Lepisosteus oculatus: one gene and its partner. The protein of the gene in region 2 purifies or fractionates together with the protein of the main gene of each other region. This does not show direct contact. Links are inferred from orthologs where the notes say so. Each region holds a gene or a part of one and is shown on either strand. Other genes may lie near its edges. The genes, in order: sesn2 and wdr59.

Evidence for each region.
Region 1: the proteins of wdr59 (region 2) and sesn2 purify together in Homo sapiens (affinity purification with western blotting; 4 studies listed by BioGRID and IntAct, with this or other methods). This does not show direct contact. The link is inferred for Lepisosteus oculatus from reciprocal best matches to the Homo sapiens genes WDR59 and SESN2.

The regions. Positions count from the first base shown.
Region 1 is NC_090706.1:9,644,421-9,651,872, forward strand, and holds the start of sesn2 (sestrin-2), read left to right. Parts: upstream 1-4,135; 5' UTR 4,136-4,538; coding exon 4,539-4,886; intron 4,887-7,452. Other genes in the region: gpr210a (probable G-protein coupled receptor 139), read right to left, coding at 66-135. UniProt on the Homo sapiens protein: Functions as an intracellular leucine sensor that negatively regulates the mTORC1 signaling pathway through the GATOR complex. In absence of leucine, binds the GATOR subcomplex GATOR2 and prevents mTORC1 signaling.
Region 2 is NC_090715.1:16,379,604-16,387,764, forward strand, and holds the start of wdr59 (GATOR2 complex protein WDR59), read right to left. Parts: upstream 3,174-8,161; 5' UTR 3,122-3,173; coding exon 3,068-3,121; intron 1,875-3,067; coding exon 1,825-1,874; intron 1,451-1,824; coding exon 1,315-1,450; intron 858-1,314; coding exon 772-857; intron 209-771; coding exon 128-208; intron 1-127. Other genes in the region: RNA-binding protein NOB1, read left to right, coding at 3,330-3,332, 3,781-3,849, 4,337-4,469, 4,832-4,965, 5,601-5,672, 6,514-6,660, 7,220-7,498, 7,660-7,757. UniProt on the Homo sapiens protein: As a component of the GATOR2 complex, functions as an activator of the amino acid-sensing branch of the mTORC1 signaling pathway. The GATOR2 complex indirectly activates mTORC1 through the inhibition of the GATOR1 subcomplex.

The DNA of each region.
Region 1 (7,452 bases), on a different chromosome or scaffold from region 2:
ATGTTTAAAATACTACAAGTCTCCAATGCACCCCATCAATGTTGGTACAGTATTTATAATCTCACCTGGTATCCCCGTGGTACAGAGGACAATGTAATAAGCTTTCTGCATCTCCACAAATGAATCCCAGTCCATCTCTCTTATGAAGTAAAGGAGGCTTAAGAAGCAGGTTTCAGGAGTCTGTCATATTTTTTGTTCCATTTTTAGTTAGCTGATCTTTTAAAGGTATTTCAAACAGTACATTATTGCCCAAACATTACTAGGTCCAACACCTTATGTGCTCTGAAATTCAGATATGCATCATAGGCAGGTGACCTTGTGCCTCCTATAGACCTATGAAAAGGCACTACTGCTACCCACATATTAGTGTTTTGAGTCACTTATGCTTCCCTTCCTGGAGAGACACAGCTGGGCTTCGTGGTCTTTGTGTTAGAGTAGTTGAGAGGGCACCTGGCACCGGGTGTTGTAAAAGTGCTCGAACATTAAGCAAACATTCCACAGTCCTACCCCATGGACCTGGTTGTCATGTCATAAATAGATATTGTCCTGTTCGTGCTAGGTGAGCTGATTAACTGCCGGCTATGTCAGGAAACACGGCATAAAAATCAATTGATTTGGGCTCATTCAGTCACTTAATGGCTCTCACAAAGGCATTTCTTCTACTTTCAATGCATGCAACAAGCCCACGTTTAGAACTTCCTAAGAATCTGTAACAACATAAAACATTTTAAATGATGGCCATTAACTGTGGGTCTGTTCCCTAGGAACATGGTGTTCAGTCAGTTTTGAAAAAAAAAGGTAACTTATCGCAACTGTTATTAGTTTTTATGCTACACACTTTAAAAAGTCTCCAAAGGAATAAGCAAGAAAATGAATAAATACTTCTTTGATATTAAATATTACTCCAACTATCACTCAAAAACCTCTTGAAACACACTTCTGAACATGTGATGCTTTCAAACCAGTGCCAGGAAGGCTAGGACAAGACTCCGAACACCTGGCTTATCTTAACACCTTAACAGCTAAACTAGCACAGTGTTCCTGTGGGGACACTGTGGATCCAGCTTGGGTTTGCCATGCAATCACCTGTCATTTAATGCTGGTTACCATGGAAACACATTCTGACAGAAAACCTATATCACCTGCAGGCAATGTACATCCTGCATCAGATGGTGCAGAATATTTCAATTCTGCTCAGACAATTCTTGGGGCTCTGATAAAGAGATGAACTCTGACCTCAGCCTTTTTTTTAGCTCCTTTACTGAGTTCCTTTGTGTTTTGTTTCTTCCTGGATTCTCAACTCTAGACTGTCTCTGACCACTTCTCTGGATTTGCTCCTTTTTGCTTTGGACCTGTTTGTTTCCCATGCTTTGAACTTTGCCCACTTGTTTCGATTATAATTCTGGAATTCCCTTTGTGCTTTCACTGTTTCTCCAGCTTTGAACTATGCGTGTATCTCGCCACAATCCCGGACTGTGTATGCCTGCACCATGCTTGCCTGCACTTTCCCTGTGTTGACTCTATCTCTTACCCAGTGCAGGGATTCATCTTGTGCCTCACAGATGCTGCTCAGTCCCACCTTAAGCACAGATATGACAAACGTAACTTTTACTTGGCAGATTTAGCTTTGTCATCCCAGGGTAAAAAACCACCATGGCCAGAGACAAGGAATCCAGAGAAGAAAAAACAGAAGAAAGACATGGGATTTTTCTTACAAAAAACTTTATTGACTGGGAAACAACAATGCATGGAGTAGCAGTCTGTAGAGACAGCTGCACTAAAAAGAGTCTTTACATAAAAGTCTCAATCCAAACAATAAAATAAAATAATTTAAAAAAAGTAATCAACTGCAAGAAAACATCTCTGGTGATTAAGTCCTTCATTTGCAGTCTGGGAGGTTTATGTTTGACTTCTGTCATTCATTCATTAAAGATGGGAAGAACACTGCAGGCATTTCAAGCAGCCTAATTAATTAAGTCATTTATTTGCAGTTGCAAATGCACTTTAGCATGCCTGAATCAAACATGTAAGAACTAATTCAATTTCATGGGCACTTAAAAATCTGTGAATCCTTCTTTCACATAGATCTGATTTGTAATTGCGCCCAGCTGTAGGAATTACACTGCCACTGTATTATAATTGATCTTAATAATATAAATACACCAGACAAATTCACTTAATGAAAACACATGCTGTTTTCATGAACTAAAATCAATATTACCCTACAAATAATTCATAAATGATCTGATCATTATAATACACTGAAACGATATGACCTCCATATTTTTTCCCATTTTCAAAATGAAAAAAAACATCTAATTCAAAATTAAAAACTATTTCTAAATAGTTAAAATAATTAAAGATTAATTTTCTAATGTTTACACAGGCAATAAGATCATGATATTACGACAATTATGCTGGTTCATAATTAAAATATGCAGGTCATTAATAACCTTAATTTCATTTTTTTTTTTGCTATTATTTGTATACATTAGTGACATTAACTATTGAAAACTACTCACTTTCAGTCATGAGAATATATTCTTTATTCACAAATCAGAGGTATTAACTGTCAGGAGCGGGATTTGAACCCCCACCCCAAGTCAGAGACCAGAACACCCAAGCAATGGAAAGACGTAAGTCATGAAATCAGGTATCTTAGACCACTCGGCCATCCTGACGAACTCTAAGTCACAAATCAGAAGTACTTTAATGGTCAAAGGAAGAAGAAAAGCATTTTAAATTGCATCCTGGGAAGAACTGGGGTTCCTAGTGGAGGAGGTCCGTGGAAATAAGGTGTGCATTGTCTGCAGTTTCCTTTTCTCTGGTTATTTACACACACCAGTGCCATGCAAACGCTGTCACCCTCTGCCACTGATATCGCATTTTGACATTTAACTTTTACATATAAAAGTGTTCAGTTTGAGCCATTCAAGTTTCAATAAAAAATGCATTCACTTCCAAGAAAATGCGCATACTGTACTGATGTTTAATTCAACAAAGTGAGACATCATTGGAAGGGTGTGAATCCTATTGCAGGACACTCTATGTGTGGAAAGAATTGGTATCGATGTTTTCGACTGCACTGTTTGAATGGAGTGATTTAGTCGAATTATTACAACTTTCAACGCAACCTGCCCAAGCTGTCATGTGAGTAAATCAAGTTGTTTTTTTCATGATGAATTGTAGAATGACACGAAACTTGCGGATAGTGGTTATTTGTAAAAAAAAAACACGTTTTAAGTCTCACTTCATTTCTTTGCGGATTTTAAAAAAATAATATTCTTCAAAAGTATTGGAGCTGTGCAGTCCCAGCTCGTAGAGATATGTCGTAAAACTCCAAACACACGGAACGAATAATATAATAATATACAGTAGACAGCCTTGTTTGTGAAAGTTTTAAAACAGTTTACCAACAGCGAAGTACTCTGCTTAGCCGACCGCGCAATGAAGCTGGGCAAGGGGTACGCGTGACTACAACGCCTCTAACGGTAAGAGATAATAAATGCACTCCGTTTCCATTTTCTGGATATATAAGCTACTTGGATGTAAGATAAATGGACCATAACTAAATAAATAAGGAATAATTAGGAGCATGTTATTAAAATATTTACTGTATAACAAAAAAAATGTCTTCAAGTTTCAAAGTGTGCCCCAAAACCACAGTTTGAGAAACTCCCAAAGGAGCACGTTGATCATCAGCAGACCCGGTGTCAACCGCGTTCGCTGGGCCACATACAGCTACTTCTAAACATCGTCGAAACAATCAATTTCTGTTCAGATTTTAATGTTTTCTTTCCCAGATAACAACGGGAAAGAACAATAAGTACAATATAACCACGGTCACAAACAAGAAGGGGAATCAGGTTCCTTTGGCTTATTTTATTAAAATCGCTTAACACATCTCATCTACTTCTGCGATTCTGAAATAACTTCACTTCTCAGCCACCGTAGTTGAGTTTCCCTACTGCGTTTTTTGTTGGTTGCAAGGGAGCCAATCACGAGCACCAAATACATTTTACATGGGTCTCCGTGCTTGTAGTCCCTTGTATATTTCGGCTTCATTGGTGTGAAATATGGGATTGTATTTATAAAACTTCAATTCCCATGAACTGTTGTACACCGTTGCTTTTATCTCATTACAGCAGCTTCGGAAGTAATTGCATCAGCTGGTTTCCTAACGATCTCGTTCTTTTAGCTTGTATTTTTCCCTTTTATCAGTTTAGCATTTGTCCTCGATTTTGCTCAAACGTCAGCAATTTACGGGGTTTTTTTTCGTCGTAACGAATTATCGCCATGGATGCAGTTTCTGTTTTTGAGCTCTGAATTCCAGCTAGCCGTATAACAGCACCTGAAGATGGCAAATATGTTTTGCACTACGCAACGAAGAAGCTTAGAGCATCGTTTAATACTGGTAGAAAAATATCTGCTGTGTCTAAGTTTATTTATAATAGTATAGCCATCTGAGCATAGGGCCAATAGCGCAGCGGAAGATCATAGTGACTTTTTGAATTAATCGACTTGGTCATATTATAAAAATGCTGGAGATGACTCCTGTTCCTGTCTCAGCCTCGGAATGGAGCCAGGCAGGGGACCCGAATCAAGAGGAGCCATGTCCGAAGCCATCGAGGTCCGAACCGGTGTGGGACTCCAGGAAGTTCGAGCGGCTGTGTAGCCGAGACCAGAAGGAGCGAGCGGCCGCCCTGGACGCGCTGACCCAGGCGGTGCTGTTGTGCCTGGGTAGCGAGAGGCCCGGCTTGGCGGAACCGGGAGAGAGTTCGCCGAAGCTCGACAAAGAGACTCTGCTGCAGCTCCTGAGGGTGTCCAAGAGCTGCCCCTTCCGCGACATCAGAGAAAAAGCGGCAGAGCTCCTTCACGCCGCAGAGGTGAGAGGGACATGTACAGCGAAACCGCAGCTTGTATCCACAGACAAGTGTTGTTGTAGATCCACCTGCAGTAGTTGTGTATGGATGTCCTTGCTGACAACTGAATGTTTGGATGATTGGGGAAGGTTAATGCGTTTTATTTCTCATCACCAAGCTCTTTTTATTTGTCTTCAAAATCACCTATTCATTTAAGTTGTAAGCCGATGACAAAAGTGGTTCATCATAAACCTTGTTCTTGAACTCCGAGAGATTGAGGTGTTTAACATAGCTGCAGGAGCGGTTTATAATGTGTATTTTGTTATTTTTTTATTATTTGAGAGCTTCTTAAACACCTTGGGACAGATCAATAAATATTTCTCTTCTTCATTCCTATTTGTGGTCTTGCTCGCAACCTGGTCACTTTAGCCATGAGGTGCTGTCCTTTGGATGAGACATAAGACCGAGCTCCTGACTCTTCTATGAATTGGCTACCTTACTCTGCTCTCCTCCCCACTGATCGCTGATGTATGGTGAGCGTTCTGGCGCACTATGGCTGCCGTCACATCATCCAGGTGGATGCTGCACATTGGTGGTGGTGGAGGGGAGTCCCCATTACCTGTAAAGCTCTTTGAGTGGAGTGTCCAGAAAAGCGCTATATAAGTGTAAGCAATTATTATTATTTGTGGTCATTAAAAATTCCAGGGCGTTTCTCGAAACGAACAGGAGAGTTATCTCGGTGTCCTGGCCAAATTTCCCATTGGCCTTTACCAATCACGGTTTACAAATAATCCCCATCTATGAACTGGCTTCATGCCTCTGTTCCCCTCCCCACTGATAGCTGGTGTGTGATGAGTGTACTGGTGCTTTGTGGCTGTCGTTGCATTAGGCGGAGGCCATATATTGATGGTGGTGGAGGGGATTCCCCAGTACCTGTAAAGCATTTTGAGTACAGTGTCTAAAAATGTGCTATATAAGGATTGTATTTATATTTATGGGTTTGTTATTTATTCTATTTATTATTCATTTATGCCAAAGGTCTTGGTGATGCTGAAAACCCCTAGGATACTGTAGCCTCCACTCTACATTATTATTTCCTCTTGATATTTGGTACCGTGGCACATTTCTTTGAACACAGCAGCCAGCCAAGATGTGACTGGTTGTTTGAACTGTTGCCATTGTCTACAGTATATTCATGATAGCTTGCGGGTGGCATGTTTGAGCAGTGCTGGGGCCCCGGGTTCAATTCCCAAGCCGCTGTCTGCGTGGGGTTTATAGCTCGCCCTGTGTTTGTGGAAAATCAGCTTTGTTGCAAATGTGTGTATGTCTGCCCTGTGATGGAGTGCCATCACATCCAGGGTGTATTCTGCCTCGTGCCCGTTGTTTTTTGGATAGGCTCTGGCTTCTCTGTGACCCTGAATTGGAAAAGAGTTGTTAGAAAATGGCTGGATGGATGGGTAATTGCTTGCGTTTATGTACCGCATTACGTATAAGAAGACATCCACACCACCCACCCCTGGAGCACAGCGCCAGCCTGGGTGATGCAACGCAGTTATTCTTCTCCAGCAATTCTACTGCACAGCAGCGAAATGACAAATTTAGCAGTGAACTACAGCGGAACTTCAGTAATTCCCCAGATGTACAACACTAGGGTTGAATTTAGCTGGCAACACTGGAATAAACACCCTTTCTCTTTACAATTCCAAACGACTGAAGAACTAAATTAGTGTCTGTAAATTAATGGGCAGCAATGCAAATGGTATAATTAGTTGTTTTTAGGATGGAGAGATTGAGTCTCCTTCTTCTGTTGCAAATGTGCTCTGTAGCACATACTTCTCACACTGACCCCTGAGGGTCAGGGCAGGGTCATCTTAGGGTAAATACAGACTAATTGGTTAGATGGACCTGACTGATTTATAAAACCTGTCCCTCTTCATTAAAGAGAGAACTATGTGAACACTCACCTTCAGAGTCTTTAGACGAGTCCTTCTGAAAGGCTGGTGCATTGCAATTAGAGCTGCTACATTATTAACTTCATTCCCATTTTTTTGAAGGCTGTTTGCTTGTTCAATATTGAAATCTTTGCTGAATTGTAGGATGATTGCATAAAATCATAGAAGACTCAAATGCATTACACCGATTTGCTGACGTATCCAACACAGCTTTGTAGAACTTGGTTTTTACTGGAGACATTTTAGTTGAGTCCCATGCTTTAGAGTGGAACAGCACCTGGAATTCAAACCTCTAACCTGCTCATTATGAGCAGAAATCCTAACCGTTGCTCCACACTATTGCCTAGTCACTGGAATAACTTTTACTCTACTTCTCAGGTCTGCTGTGCAGTGATGCAACACCGATAAAGGCTGACATTTTAAAAACATTCACTAGGTCATGTCATCTGTGCTGAAGACACTGTATAGATATACTGTATACTGTATCTTGTTTTAATTGTGCATACTGCCTATTTTTCAAAGAACACCCTAGTGATAGTGAATTCTGAATTACCTTAAGGTTCTCTCAGGTTCTCCCTTTTGAACAAAGAATCACAAGAGAACACACAGACTCCTGAAATAAGTTCAAGACCTCAAAT
Region 2 (8,161 bases):
TAACTAGAAACCGAGACATATGTCACATATCCACATCTGAAGCAGTTTGCAATATAACCCTTACAACTAAAATAAAAAACAGATCTTTTCACAAATGTTACTTCACAGCAAAAAGATCACCTCTCACCTGGTGTCCCAGATGTAAATGTAGGTGTCCACAGAACTGGTCACGAGGAGCTCGGGATCAAACCACGACCAGTCCAGGTCACTGCAAGGCACAAACAACACGTCTGTCAGACCATTTACCTGGAAAGCAGGAAGAGAGAGAGGACTGGGCTTCTGCTGTATTAACACACACCACGCTAGCAGATACTAGTGCATTACTCCTGCATGTCCTGCATATTCCACTAGGATCCTTTGAATTATACTTGCCCATGTAACATTGTGAAGTACAAAAGCAGCACAAGACTAAGTTATGATTTCATTATCAATAGTGCAATGAAAAAGCAAATAAGTGGGTCACATTGGCCACAATATATAACACATACTCTACTATGTGATGTGCACTGTGAAGAAAGATACAAGATGTGAAGAAGGGGTTAACTGATTCCTTTCTGCAAGAGGAAGGGACTTCTAAGCAACAGGCTCAAGTTATGGCAGGAAAGGGGGATAACCTGTAGCCATATCAATACTCAACATGTGATGTTTTATGCAAATATGTATGTATATTGTTGTTCCTGACTTTTTTTTGTTCTGTCTGTACACCAATACTAATAATAAAGACTCTCTCTGTTGATTTCAGCACTCTACCCCAAACCACCGGCCTGTCACCTGATGACGCGCGTGTGTCCCTGCAGCGAGGTGTGGATCTCCCCAGCGCCATCGCGCCACTTGTACAGGTCCACCCGCTGGTTACTCTGCAAGTACAAGAAGGCCTCTGGGTCAGACTGGCACTGAACCACTGCAGGGAAACCTGGGCTGTGCTTCTCAGCACTGTCACAGTGAAAATCAACCAGCCCTGTGTTTACTTCCAACACATCGACAGAAGGTTTTTTTAGAAGGTGGATCACTGAAAACACAAATTAAGCACAGGCACATAGACACAACTACTTTGTTCCACCAAACCTTGGCATTTTAAGATAAACTTAAAAGGGTGTTGAATTCTTCCATAATATTCTTAACTATTTTAGAAAAATTATATAGTTCTATCTCTTTCATTATATAGTTACTAAATACCACAGGATTTAAAAACCAAACTGCTTCAGTGACTTTGATCTGGGGTGCTAGAACATGTTTGGGGAACCAAGGGGGTGCAGATGCAGTAAAGGTTGAGGCAAACGATCTCGTCTGGTTCTCCTGTCACCACAGTCTCACCGAGGCGGCAAAGAAGTAGGCCCCCGACTCGTGGGGGTTCCACTGCACCGTCCCCACGTCCCACTTGCTCTGGCGGCCAATCTTGCGCGGGGCCTCGGAGGGGGTGTCCAGGTTCACGATGTACAGGAACCGCCGCCTGGGACACGCAGACAGGACACGGTTCACACCTGCTGCGGCTCCAGGTACCACACACCGAGCGGACACACCGCCACCCCGGATACCTTCTTTACAAAAGGTCGAGACAACATTCTTCACTTTTCCTTAAATAAAATAGATTACCGAGAAGCTCTAAAACAGTGTCACACCACTCTGAATCTTCAGTGCCGCACCATCTAGATTTTGTTCACTATGTACAATGCACTAGAATGCACCCCTCCACACTACGAAAGGTATACTGCTGTACTGCAAAGCGGAGTCCTGCTGTAATAAAACACTGCCCACAGGGGCAGTGTGGCTCTCATGGTGCATCATCACTGGCTGCCGCTGCTGGAGGTTGATGAGAGAGCTCACCCAGACAGCACAGCATGGCGGCCAAGGCAATCCACTGACATCGCAGTCGCCTGCAGAGACAGGACATAAAAGATGACTAACAATCCATAAACATCATTTTGTCCTTGTTTTTTTAGTAAATTGATAAGCAGCTGGATTTAATGTTCCCACCATTACGAGCAGCAAAAGGTTCCAAATTATTGTCATACAATTAACAGAAAATAGGCAAAATTAAGGTAAATTGAGCGATCTGTATTTAATGAATTAATTTAGTTAAAGCACTGATTACATATTCATTCCATAAAAATGTTTGAGAGGAATTAAAGGTTCCACGTGAAATCAACCTGTTTTGGGTACAACAATTAAGATTTTCTTGATATTCTACGAACACATTTATGTTGTGGAGTACTGATGTAAGGCACAACTGCACACTCACACCTCAAAAGTAAAATTGTAAGTTGCTTTGAATAAGATGAATCGTTAAGGTTTAATCTGAGAAATTGGAACGCTATTTTAATAGACACCTACTTCTCGGATACTCTTCAAAATCACAAAATTAACATTCAGCGTTGACTGCAATGTTAACGCAACCATAACTTTACAGTTCTTCACCACACTGTAGATAATTGCTATTAAACATACTTGTACTACAGTACTTTATACGCAAGACAAGAATACATTTCCTAATGCAACCTTAACGGAGCAGGGATGTGGGAGGCGAAAATTAGACAGGTCAGTTAGCCAGCATCGAGCTGGGGGTCAAACTGGAGAACAGAGGCAGATCTCACATCTGATCTGCTGACTCAGCGGGGGGAGGGGGGTTGGAATAAAACACACCAAAATAACCACAATTAGCCAACAATAAGCCACAATTTCCAACTGTCACTCAGTGAAGGGTTCTACAAATAAAACATTATATCATGTTTACTTCAGAGCAAGGATCCTCAATTCCGACTATCGAAGCCCGGAATCCATTCGATTTTATGTCCCCTAAAAAGTGAACGCCTCCTAACACTGAGGAAAAGGTTAAACTTTAAAAACATTGATGCATCCCTTCTTCGCAGTGTTAAACTGCTGACTAAAGAGATAAAGCAAAACTCCTGGTTTCTGCACTGACTGCAAACTGACTGAGTGACAACCCTAAGTTACAGAAAACCCTCATTCCTGCGAACGCTCTCGACGTGGTCAGTTGTGTCGGGAGTCTAAATCTCCACGACCACGACCAGCAGATCTATCGCTTTCCCGTGATCGAGACCCACAGTACCTGTGAATCTCTGAACTCCACCACCACATTCTCGCTGCTCCAGCGCGCCGCCATCTTGCCTCCCTTTCAGCACCATAACAACAACACCGTGACGTCACACGGCTGCCGGCGCTCCATAGGGCGTTCCTATATCCCAGAGTTCGCTGCGCTCGATGAACATAAGGTCTTGACTTCCGGGTCAATACTGATCACATGGCGCTGTTCTTAAAATAACTCTTCCTCGGTATCCTCCTGAAATCAGCTATGTGCTGTGTTTTACTCAATGGTGGGTGAAGTTCCTTTCCACCCCCAAAAGTGTAATTACACTTTGTCCATCCTCCTCGTTCACTACAGATAATGTATGCAAATATGTATTACTGATGAACCTAGAAATGTATGAGAATTGACACAGGTCGGCAGCTATAGGTAGGTTATAAGAAATACCATGAACACAGGGTGCTATTATTGATAGGTAAATCATATTCGTATAGCATCATTACCAATAATATCGCATCATTGCAAACACTATTTAGATACCTCTTTATTGGTAGATTATAATAAAAAATGCAAAGAGTATTTTATTTGATTAAAATTGACCCAAGTAAACAGACTCGTGATCATTTTCGGTAGTGCAAAACACCACCGACAGGGGGCAAACTCTTTTGTTATTCTGTGAAATCCTCTGACCTGCGCAAATTTAGCAATTTTCTGATTGGTTGTGCAACTGTTTCAAGATGTCTTCTGCCGTGGTGGAGCATGTTGTCGCGGATGCTGGAGCTTTTTTGAAGAAGGCGCCGTTGCAGGTGAGAAAGAGAGTGAGCGGAGCGCACAGGGATGTTGTTTCTGTATTAGCCGTGTACAGACAGAACCGAAGAGCTCACAATCAGGGGTGTGCCGTGCTGGGACAGCGGAGGTGTGAGTGCGTTGGTGCGCTGCTATCGCACTGGGAGAAGTGGCTCAGGGGTATAGCGTGGTAGTTTTTATTCTTCCGTATTGTAGATATTAAAATTCGAATGGTTTTTACTAGTAGCCATTTTCTCTTAAGGATCTTCAGTTGTTCCTAAGGTGTTGAGATTTAGATGTCGAACTAATCAAATTTAAGGTGGGTAGCTGCGTCAGCATGCGTAGGCTGCAGAGAAACACGTAATAGGTTTATTTTCTTTCTTCTCTTTTCAGCATGGAATAAACCTATTACTTGTTCCTAATCAAAATTAAGATTCGTCTGATATCCAGATTGTACTTTAAATATACTCTTTACCCATGTGACAAGTCTTGTCGCCCCTATTTTAGGACTTTGGGAAGAATATCTACACAGTGAAAGAGGTGGTGAATGAAATCCGGGACAAACAGACCAGGAACAGTTTGGCGTTCCTGCCGTATCAACTGCAGTTTAAGGAGCCCCTTCCCGAATTCATTCAAATTGGTGAGTTAATGTTTGGGCCTTTTGGTGTTATTGGCAATAACTCTACCTTCTGCATGTCAGAGTGTTATCTATGCCAAAGTTCATGTATGGATTAGCAAAATTGGACCTGTTTTGGCTTGGGCCAGTTGGTTAAAATACCAGTTATAGCCAATGCCATAAAAATAGTTAAAATGTTTGGAGACTGTTACACTTTTTGCTTCTCTCATTGGGAGGATGTACAGTAGATCAGAACTGTGATGTATCAGCATTGTCCAAAAGAATCTTAGCTATAATAAATGCCCCTTTGGGCTTCCACAGGCAGTGCACGAATCAATTTCTCCAACTGGGATTCTTTCACCTGGTTCTTGCTTTTTTGATTCCAGTGACTGAATTCTCCAAAAAGACCGGAGACTACCCAAGCCTCTCGGCGACGGACATTAAAGTGCTGGCTCTGACCTACCAGCTGGAGTCGGAGGTCCTTGGCGTCGCCCACCTCAAGACAGAACCAGAAGTGAAAGTAAGAAGAAAACGGCGGCTGTTCGGTTTTATAATAGTTTTATCATAATTTTCATTCGCAAGAGCACCTCGTGTGTCAATGCGTCCCGGAGTGCTGTGCAACGTGCAGAGAAAGATAAAAATGTGCATGGCAGACACACAGCAGTGCGGGCACAGCTCCTCGCGTGTCTAGGCGGAGTGCTCTACAGCCCGGGTTCGGCAGCTGTGCCCGGGGGCTCGTGGGTGAAATTCCCACACCAGCCACAGACTGGTGCTGGGAGTAGTGCCTGCAGTGAAGCGCTCAGCCGGGTGAGGAGGAGGTGGATTTCCACACGCACACAGGCGGCTCTGTCGGCGAGTAAAGGCCTGGGACCAGTGGGAACAGAATCCCGTCACGCGAACACTTGATTCAGAGTCAGGAGTGGAATAAGAACTATAAAATGACCAGAACCAAATGTCAGTGGCTAAAAGCGAGCAGAATTTTGAATTTTACTCTAAATTTAACAGGCAGTGAGAGCGCAGATGCTAAATTGGGTTTGATGTGTTCATCTGATTTCAAGACCCAAAGCAGATGGGTCCTGCGCAGACTGCAGTTTGACAACTTTCCTATTGGCAACCAATGAATAAAACAGTAAAACCTATATTTTTGTGTTTCAGGTCGAAGTGTGCAGCACCTGGAGACACCCAGAGGCACCCGTCAACATTGCTGGATTCCACATCCCGTCTAAGGTCAGAGGCCAAGGACACTGTGACCAGAATCCTGCTGGGACCTATAGAGACTGGTCTTCACAAACATATTTAACACAGACATGGCCAGCTGCTCAGTGTTCTCCTTCAAGCTGTAGGGTTAATTTTGTTTTCCAGTTTAAGTGTCCCGAGATATGATGAGGTGAGGTAACAGTCTGTGTAAGCAAATTCATTTTTGCAGGTTTGTTTTTAGTAGCTGCATTTAGCTTGATCGTCAATCCTGGAAAGAGTAGTAACAGTGCAAAACAGTGGTTAGAGACCTGGATTTATAGCTGGAAGATTGTGGGACTGCAGACTGCAGTTCACTCAGACTGCTCCAATAAAACTCTCACTTGTACAAATCAATATTGCTGCTGATAAAAGTGTCACAAAAATTAGTTAACAGCAAAGGATACCAACTTTTATTTTGCTCCAGTTTCCTGATGGACACTTCCACACAGCAGGCCAAGAGATTCCAATTCTAGTCCTGGAGGTCTAAAATAAACCTTGAGTTCTGAGTTACACAATTGAACCTTAATTGACTTAATAACTGGATTCATGTGATTTATTTTTAACATCAGCTTTTAAAAAAATGGAGATTGCCTTTTAACTGTCACATTTTGTAAGAAGCTTGTGTCAGAATTTTGAGTAGGAAAATATTGCAACATTTCCAATCAAGCAAGTCATTAGTTCAATTAAGGCTTCAATTAAGTAATTAAGCTCCGCTAGAAGGAAATCCAGCAAATACAAGGATATCCAGGAACAGGATGGGGAAGTCCTGTTTGTAGGTTATATAGTGGACAATATTTGATTTAAGTGTTTTTTTCTTTTGTTGTTGTTGCAGAAAGGTACTTCAGACAAGAATGTAGGAGTCAGACCAAATTGCTCCAAGTCACAGAATTCCAGCTCCCCAGACGATGCCCAGTTCAACTCCTTCCAGTTCTGGAGAAGCCCCTTGCCCAGCATTGAAGCTGACTTGCTGGAGTTACTGGTGAGGACTGGACAGAGCTGGAGTGGATGCCTGTTCTCCATTTCCAGCAGCAGTCCAAATGTTACTTCTAATGCCTTCTCTACCATTTTAATGTTTTCTTAAGGCAGGGGACACAGTGGCGCAGTGGTCAGCGTTGCTGCCTCTCAGCACTGGGGCCCTGTGTTCGGTTCCTGGGGTGCTGTCTGTGTCTGTGTGTGCCCTGCGATGGACTGGTGTTCTGTCCAGGGTGTATCCTGCCTTGCAACCATAGCTTCCTGGGATAGGCTCCAGCTCCCCTGGCTACCTTGTATTTGGCAACATAAGATGTAAGAGAGGTTACAGCTAAGCGGAGGCCATTGGGTCCAGCATGCTGGTATTGTTCCAAGACTCTCCAGCCGTTCCTTGAAGGAGTCCAGCTACATGGCTGATCAGCTTGCTTCAGCCACTCCGTGAGTAAATTATAGAACAGCTTTGGAATCCGTCTGCTGGGTTATGTGTTACTGCCTCGAGGCTGAACGAGGTCTGGAACTTCCCTGCTGCGGCTGTCCAGGCTGTAAGGAGGCCTGTTGTCTTTCTGCAGAACGCCGAGACGGTCTCGGCCGCGTGCAGTTCAGCGGGAGCGACTGTCGATGAGCTGCAGCCTGCGCCCGTCTCCGCGGATCAGTGCTGCGGGGAGTCCCGGACAGCGGGGAGCGTGGGAGAGGAGGAGGAGGCGGAGAGTGGCTCAGAGGAAGAGGAAAGTGGAGACGGAGGCTGGATCACTCCCAGGAACATCAGACAGGTCCAGCTCAACATGGGAGTCCAGCAGGCTCCAGGCGAAGTGAGAGTGGGCTGCCTGACCACAGACTTCGCCATGCAGGTGACTCTGCAATGAAACCGCCGTCGAGAGCTCGGTCCCCCCGGAGCGCAAAGACTGTGTTGGAAAAGATGAGCCATGTTTCACTTGCGTATTGAAGAAACCCCAGGAATTGTGTGAAACTGCCTTTTCCCTGAACACCTCTTTACTTTCTTTTGAAACAGAACGTTCTCATTCAGATTGGGCTGCACGTGCTGTCGGTCAATGGAATGGTCATCAGGCAAACCAGGAGCTACACATTGCGCTGCCACGCCTGCTTTAAGTGAGTGTGTTTAAGGAGAATGTTGAGGGATCACAAACATGCTTTAATTCCATTGTACTGCAAATGAAGGACAGTAATCTCCAGGTGTTTGTTTTATATGGAAGAGGTCAGAGAGCTGTAATTGAACTGTTACTGGCTAGCCAGATTTAGCGTGTTATACTTTTTTCCTTAAGTCAATATTGGAGCAGAAAATTCTTCCTTAAAAGTGTTCGCTGGTAACAGGTGTCACTTAAAATCATTTCAAGACCAGACCTGCTGCAGTTTCAACTTTTCTGTTATTTTTTTTTTTTAATTATGATAACTCTGGTCAAGAGTGAATCCCTCACCCTCCCTTAAGTCTGTAGAACTAAAACACGTTTATTTGTTACTTAGTAGGCGTTGCATAGAGAAAGTAGGGAGCTGCG